2 linked regions of the Arabidopsis thaliana genome follow. The protein of the gene in region 1 interacts with the protein of each later gene in a pairwise test. Each region holds a gene or a part of one and is shown on either strand. Other genes may lie near its edges.

Evidence for each region. Proteins that work in one complex are often made in the same cells at the same time.
Region 2: the proteins of ASIL1 (region 1) and TDF1 interact in binary tests that used the Arabidopsis thaliana proteins (3 or more experiments, as listed by UniProt).

Annotation. Positions count from the first base shown.
Region 1 is NC_003070.9:20,179,054-20,182,927, forward strand, and holds ASIL1 (6B-interacting protein 1-like 1), read left to right. Parts: upstream 1-1,556; 5' UTR 1,557-1,918; coding exon 1,919-3,070; 3' UTR 3,071-3,321; downstream 3,322-3,874. Other genes in the region: AT1G54050 (HSP20-like chaperones superfamily protein), read right to left, coding at 505-768, 866-1,069; AT1G54070 (Dormancy/auxin associated family protein), read left to right, coding at 3,630-3,874. UniProt on the Arabidopsis thaliana protein: Transcription repressor that binds specific DNA sequence such as the GT-box-like motif 5'-CGTGATT-3' in the AT2S3 promoter. Negative regulator of seed maturation genes during seed germination and seedling development.
Region 2 is NC_003074.8:10,673,958-10,677,607, reverse strand, and holds TDF1 (Duplicated homeodomain-like superfamily protein), read left to right. Parts: upstream 1-1,883; coding exon 1,884-2,016; intron 2,017-2,107; coding exon 2,108-2,237; intron 2,238-2,338; coding exon 2,339-3,029; 3' UTR 3,030-3,100; downstream 3,101-3,650. Other genes in the region: AT3G28480 (Oxoglutarate/iron-dependent oxygenase), read left to right, coding at 243-305, 365-422, 526-701, 802-862, 1,041-1,342; AT3G28460 (methyltransferase), read left to right, coding at 3,311-3,464, 3,542-3,633. UniProt on the Arabidopsis thaliana protein: Required for anther development and early tapetal function during microspore maturation. Regulates callose dissolution required for microspores release from the tetrads.

The DNA.
Region 1 (3,874 bases):
CAGTTTTGATTTGGTTTAATCCGGTTAAAAGAGAACCAAAATAATTTTTTTAAATTAAAATAAATAATTAATTAAAAAGTTAAAGATAAAATTGAAATTTTTAATTATTCATAAAATCATGTATAAAAATAACAACATATAAAATTTTAGATATTAATTCTTGTATGTTTTAATTTGTATATGTATTTTTTCTGACTAAAAACATTTGGGTATTAAACTTCTAAATAAAAAATAGTTTGAATTTTTTTTAGAATTTTTCCTATAACATTAATCTTGTAGAATCCACAAAAATTTTGTAGAGCCCAGTGCCTTAGGAGTATCTTATGGTGGTAATGTCGACAACGTTTTTATTTGTTTTTGGTTTTGGAGGCTAAACCTATTTATTTCTTCAATTTCAAAATTTCGACAAGAGAACACATAAAAGAAACAGAGTCTTTTTATCCAAACACAGAAAAATTACAAACTAGAAAACAAACACACACAAAAACAAAACACAGAAACTACTCAAGAAACAGCGATTTGAACAGTCTTAGGTTTCGGCGGCTGTGGCGGTAGCTTCTTGATAACAACTGTCAAAACACCTTCTTGATATTTAGCCGTTACAGAAGCCATATCAGCATCTTCTGGTAACCGGAACTTCTTAACCAAATTCTGAGCAAGTCTCCTCTCGAGTCTAATATACTTAGACCCTTCTTCACTCTCATCATCATCTCTCTTCCTCTTCCCATTACTCTTTATCACTAAAGTCCTCTCTTCCTCCACTGTAACCTAATTTCCCACCAAAACCCCCAAATCATAAATTAAATTAAAAAAAAAACCCTAATTTCATAAACAATTCAACATTTCTATGGGATTATATCAATACCTGGATATCTGATTTTGAAATTCCGGGGATATCGAGATAAAATATGTATTCTTTGGGAGATTCCAAAATGTCTATTGGGATATTATTGCTACTTCCTCTTCCACGACTCTCGTTATTACTTTCGCCGGAACGAGAAATCGGGAGAATTAGCTTCTCGATCGCCTCCGGTAAGCCAAAAAAGTGGTTAATCGCAACAGCACTCATCTTCTCCGATCAATGACTGCCAGAAAACAAAACAGTTAAAAAAATCAACAATTCTGAAATTTTCCAGGAAAAGATCGATACAGAGAATAGGATCATTACCTGGGAATTAGGATAACCCTTTCCAATTGGATCTTCCTCTTCTTCGATTTGATAGTATGGGGTTTGAAATTTTCACTCCATTGATATATAGTGAGTAAACACCAGTGAGCTAGAAAGTTCCAGAGAAAATTTCTAGAAGTAACTAGTGAACTTGAGAGTTGTTTCAAAAGCTTCCACGTCATTAAATCTCCTTTTATTGGGCCTTATAAGTTATTTATAGGCCGTTTAGCACATTGGACTTGATTTATGTCTTTGTTCTATTTTGTATTTTTATTTCTTATATCTGTTTTTATTGGGCCTTGAAAGTTATTCCAGGCCTTAGCCCATTAGACTTGATTTATCTCGTTTTATTTTAGTTAGAGTTTTTGAGACTTGAGACAACCTACCTAACCATACTATAGACAAGAAAATAAAAATACTTTTGTATATTAGAGAAATTTTGAAATCCGTCAGTGTGTATATTCAATATTCCTAACGAAAAAATGGCCAAAGCATAAATACCTTATAGCGATATTTGAGTATTTACCATAAAACCATTCGAATACTGTCACGGTTCTAAATTTCTAATATTGTTCTTTTGTTATTAAAGGAAAGAGTGAAGGGTGTTTTCGTCATTTAACATATCCATCGGGTCAATAACGGAGATTACCTATCCGGTGACCTTATCCCCTCGCCGGTGAGCGAATCTCAGATCCAAAATTTTGCAAAATCCTCAGATCGTCTTACCTTCTCCGAATCGATCGATTTTTCATGGAGGACGACGACGAGATTCAGTCAATTCCATCTCCGGGAGATTCTTCCCTTTCACCACAAGCTCCTCCTTCTCCGCCGATTTTGCCAACAAACGACGTGACGGTGGCCGTCGTGAAGAAACCACAACCGGGGCTTTCTTCTCAATCTCCGTCCATGAACGCTTTAGCGTTAGTGGTTCATACTCCTTCTGTAACCGGTGGTGGTGGTAGCGGAAACAGAAACGGACGAGGAGGAGGAGGAGGAAGCGGTGGTGGTGGAGGAGGAAGAGATGATTGTTGGAGCGAAGAAGCTACAAAGGTTCTAATCGAAGCTTGGGGAGATCGATTCTCTGAACCAGGTAAAGGAACTTTGAAGCAACAACATTGGAAAGAAGTAGCTGAGATTGTGAACAAGAGTCGTCAATGCAAATACCCTAAAACTGATATTCAGTGTAAGAACAGAATTGATACGGTGAAGAAGAAGTATAAGCAAGAGAAAGCTAAGATTGCTTCTGGTGATGGACCTAGTAAATGGGTTTTCTTCAAGAAGCTTGAGAGTTTGATTGGTGGTACTACAACATTCATTGCTTCTTCAAAAGCTTCAGAGAAGGCTCCTATGGGAGGAGCTCTTGGGAATAGCCGTTCGAGTATGTTTAAACGGCAAACTAAAGGTAATCAGATTGTGCAGCAACAACAAGAGAAGAGAGGCTCTGATTCGATGCGGTGGCATTTTAGGAAACGTAGTGCTTCTGAGACTGAGTCTGAGTCTGATCCTGAACCTGAGGCTTCTCCTGAGGAATCTGCTGAGAGTCTCCCACCTTTGCAACCGATTCAACCGCTTTCGTTTCATATGCCAAAGCGGTTGAAGGTGGATAAGAGTGGAGGTGGAGGGAGTGGAGTTGGAGATGTGGCGAGGGCGATACTTGGATTTACGGAAGCTTATGAGAAGGCGGAAACTGCTAAGCTTAAGTTAATGGCGGAACTGGAAAAGGAGAGGATGAAATTTGCTAAAGAGATGGAGTTGCAGAGAATGCAGTTCTTGAAAACTCAATTGGAGATAACACAGAACAATCAAGAAGAGGAAGAGAGGAGCAGGCAGCGAGGAGAAAGGAGGATCGTTGATGATGATGATGATCGCAATGGCAAGAATAACGGCAATGTAAGTAGCTGACAATTGAACACACAAATGTTCCTATGATATTTGCTATGATAAGCTGGATTTTAGGTTTTGATGTTGTTGTTGTTGTTATTGTTACTGCCTTGTGGGATGTGTAAATGTAGAGAAGTTATGACTCTGATTATCATCATGTTGTTGTTATTGTTATCCATCTTCTTGTCTTAAACATGGGCAAATTAAAAAGCTTTGAACTTGAATAGCTTGTTGAAAACCTCTGTGATTCTTAAGTAGAGTTCTGAACTAGTAGTTTGTGATTCTAAGTTAAGACACAGCTTATAGAATATTCACCAATGAGATTAGAGACTAATGATTGGATTAGTCAGCATATTTATCCTTAAATTAAAATCTCCTTAATTAAGCCAAAGCTTATAATTAACCTCACTAAAAATATTCAATGCTTCTCTCTTCTCTTTCATCCTTACCTCTCTACTACCTCTATAAAACCATTTCCATTGCAAAGGAAAAAAAAAGAAGATAGAGACAGTAAAATAAAAACCCGAAATAATTTGAAAAAATATTGTTATATATTTTTGGATAAATTTTTGTTGATCGGATGGGGTTCCTACACAAGCTGTGGGATGAAACGGTGGCCGGACCGACGCCGGACAATGGTCTCGGGAAATTGAGAAAGCACGATTCATTATCCACCGTCCGATCTTCTCCTCCTTCTCTCTCAAGCGACCAAGTCACCAGAAGCATCATGGTTACCAAGGGGAATAACAATGTTCGTGGTCTCCGTAAATTGAAAATGGATCCGGATTCTCCAACCTGTTCAAGCAGCAACCCTGGGACACCTTT
Region 2 (3,650 bases), on another chromosome or scaffold:
AATTTATGTTGGCTATATCGTAGAACTTTGCAATGACTTGTTAGAAGCGGTGGTTTTGTATCTGGATTGATTTGGATGTTGAGTTTCGTGCTAATCATTGGAGAATGATTGTTATTATGAGGTCTAATGTGGCTTTTGTGTGCGTTGTACTCCGTTAGATTACTTCAGCAATTAGGCAGACTAGTTCTATGTTACTGATCAACGCTTGACCAAGTAAACATGCATTTCCTGCAATACTGTAGGATTCTGTTTCTGTGGTTAGACAAAGTAGCAGCTTCATTGCAAATATGGATAGTCTAGAGATTGTGTGATTCACTGATTGTTAACCTTTGAGTTTGAATGGTATGGTTCTATGTATGTGTAGGATGATATAGTAAGTAATGTGGAGGCAAAACTTGCTGCGTGGACCTTTCTTCCCGAAGGTATTTTTGGCCATATGTACATAGATTTCCTAATTCTGTCTCTTTGTTTAGACTTTAGTTGCTTACAACTTCTCATCTCTTTTTTGTCTGTGTTGCGGATCAGAGAATGGTGAATCCATGCAAATATTGCATTATGAGAATGGTCAAAAGTATGAACCGCATTTTGACTACTTTCACGACCAGGCTAATCTAGAGCTCGGTGGTCATCGGATTGCCACAGTATTGATGTACTTGTCCAATGTTGAAAAGGGAGGAGAAACAGTGTTTCCCATGTGGAAGGTAAAGACATATATTACTTCTGGTTCCTTAAATTTTCATCTAATATTTCGATTTCGTTTCCTGAGTAGCCTCATTTCAGTTTGATCACACATTCTTGTAGGGTAAAGCAACTCAGTTGAAAGACGATAGCTGGACCGAATGTGCAAAACAAGGCTATGCAGGTAAGATCACTGTATATAGCTTGCTTGATATAGAATACTGTATCCTGAACATGCGTTTGGCTTAATTGTGAAAGCTCAACACAAATGGGGATTGTAGTAGTTTGATTAAATGATAATGAAAGGTATAACTATTTTTCCAAATGGTATATTGCTCTATCTGATTTATGTATCTTTGCAGTGAAACCGAGGAAAGGGGATGCATTACTGTTCTTCAATCTTCACCCAAATGCAACCACAGATTCAAATAGCTTACATGGAAGCTGTCCAGTGGTTGAGGGAGAGAAATGGTCAGCAACCAGATGGATTCACGTTAAGTCATTCGAAAGAGCGTTTAATAAGCAATCTGGATGTATGGACGAGAATGTGAGCTGCGAAAAATGGGCAAAGGCAGGGGAATGCCAGAAGAATCCAACATACATGGTTGGTTCAGACAAAGACCATGGATATTGCAGAAAGAGTTGCAAAGCTTGCTCATCTTAAGAACAACAAGTAAAATCAAAGCTCTTATTAAAGGATCAAAATTTTTGTATAGCGAAAAACCGGGTTTTCGCCATTCGGGTAGATAAACATATCGTCAATAGAATGAAAAATTTAGAACTATATACTAAAAAAATAATTCTGATTCTATGTTACTGGTTTCATGTGCAAGTTATGTTCCTTATGGTTCATAACTAGACCAAAACTTAATAAAAGTCGGTTTATGTTATCATCAACCTGAAGCAAGCGATACATGATAACTGAATTAAGTATTATACAATCAGTAGTAGTGTACATGAGATGATAGTTGCCAAAACTACGTCATGCACTTCGAGACTCTATATTTCTAATGAAGTGTAACAATCATGCAATTACCGTTAATTAGGAGCCTTCAAGCATGAGATCCTCACCTTCTCTCTCTTTCTCTCTCAGAGCTTTTGCATTGCATCACTCTATTTCCATAAAGCCTTTGTTGTTGTCCTTTCAGACATTTCTCAGCTTCTTCTTCTTCTTCATCTTCTCTCTTGTGTTTGAATACCAAAAAATGGGAAGACCTCCTTGTTGTGACAAGTCCAATGTCAAGAAAGGTCTCTGGACCGAGGAAGAAGACGCTAAGATCCTTGCTTATGTTGCTATCCATGGTGTAGGAAACTGGAGCTTGATCCCCAAAAAAGCAGGTTTTTCCAAAAAAAAACTCTCTCATTTCTCTTAACTCTTAAGAAATCTCATTTCAAACAAGTCTGAGTTATTTTTCGTTCTTCGGCGCAGGTCTGAATCGATGTGGAAAGAGCTGTAGACTAAGATGGACTAATTACTTAAGACCTGACCTTAAACATGACAGCTTCTCTACCCAAGAAGAAGAGCTTATCATTGAGTGTCATAGAGCCATTGGCAGCAGGTAATGAAGCAACCTAATTGCTAACTAACTTTTTAACAATGACAAGAATCTATCAAACTTTTTATCTCATTAGTAATAATTGTAACCTCTGATGTTTTCAGGTGGTCTTCCATTGCACGAAAGCTTCCAGGAAGAACGGATAATGATGTGAAGAATCACTGGAACACAAAGCTGAAGAAGAAGCTGATGAAAATGGGGATAGACCCGGTGACTCATAAACCGGTTTCTCAACTCCTTGCAGAATTCAGAAACATTAGCGGCCATGGAAATGCATCCTTCAAAACAGAACCATCTAACAACTCTATACTCACACAATCCAACTCAGCTTGGGAAATGATGAGAAACACAACAACAAACCATGAGAGTTATTACACCAACTCTCCAATGATGTTTACAAATTCCTCTGAGTACCAAACTACTCCATTTCATTTCTATAGCCATCCAAATCATCTGCTCAATGGAACCACATCTTCATGCTCTTCCTCATCATCTTCTACTAGTATCACTCAGCCAAACCAAGTACCTCAAACACCGGTTACTAACTTCTACTGGAGCGATTTCCTTCTCTCGGACCCGGTTCCTCAAGTAGTGGGATCCTCAGCTACTAGCGACCTCACTTTTACGCAGAACGAACATCATTTCAACATCGAAGCCGAATACATCTCTCAAAACATCGATTCAAAGGCCTCGGGAACATGTCATTCCGCGAGTTCCTTCGTTGACGAAATACTAGATAAAGACCAAGAGATGTTGTCACAGTTTCCTCAACTCTTGAATGATTTCGATTATTAGATCCCTTCTTTTCCCTATTGTTGTTACTTCTCTTGTAACTGGTTTATGATTTTCAAGAACTATGTTTTTTCAATAAGTTATATCTCTTCTCTTATTAGTACTTACTTAGTACTTAAGTAGTAACCAAGTCTCTTGAAATACAAAGCTCAAAATTAAACACCTTTTGATACAGAAATAGATCCTCTGGCTCTGGAAGAAGGTTTTAACTCTATTTCTATCATTCGTCTTCTCTGCAGACGATTTCTCTCTGCAAGCTCCCAAAGTCGAAAACTTTATCAGCAATGGCGGTTTTGTTGTCATCTTTCTCTCCACTAGGAATCAACATTGACATGAATAAGAATCTGGGTGTTTCGTATTCTTCTTTCCCTCAAATTCATCTCTTTAAGGGTTCTACTCCACTGCGTGTTCGAACATTCGTCGTCTCGAGTCGTAAAAGTGTGAAATTTTGCATCTTTCACAGAATCATTCATAAAGTTCTGTCTTTTCTCAGTTTATGTCTTGTGGGTTTTCAGATTCAGGAACTGGTTTGGCAAGTGAGGATAAGAAATTGTTGCTGGAACGATATGGTTATGATGCTAATGATGACTTTGGGTCTCAATCTAAGGTCTGTTTTTTTTTTCC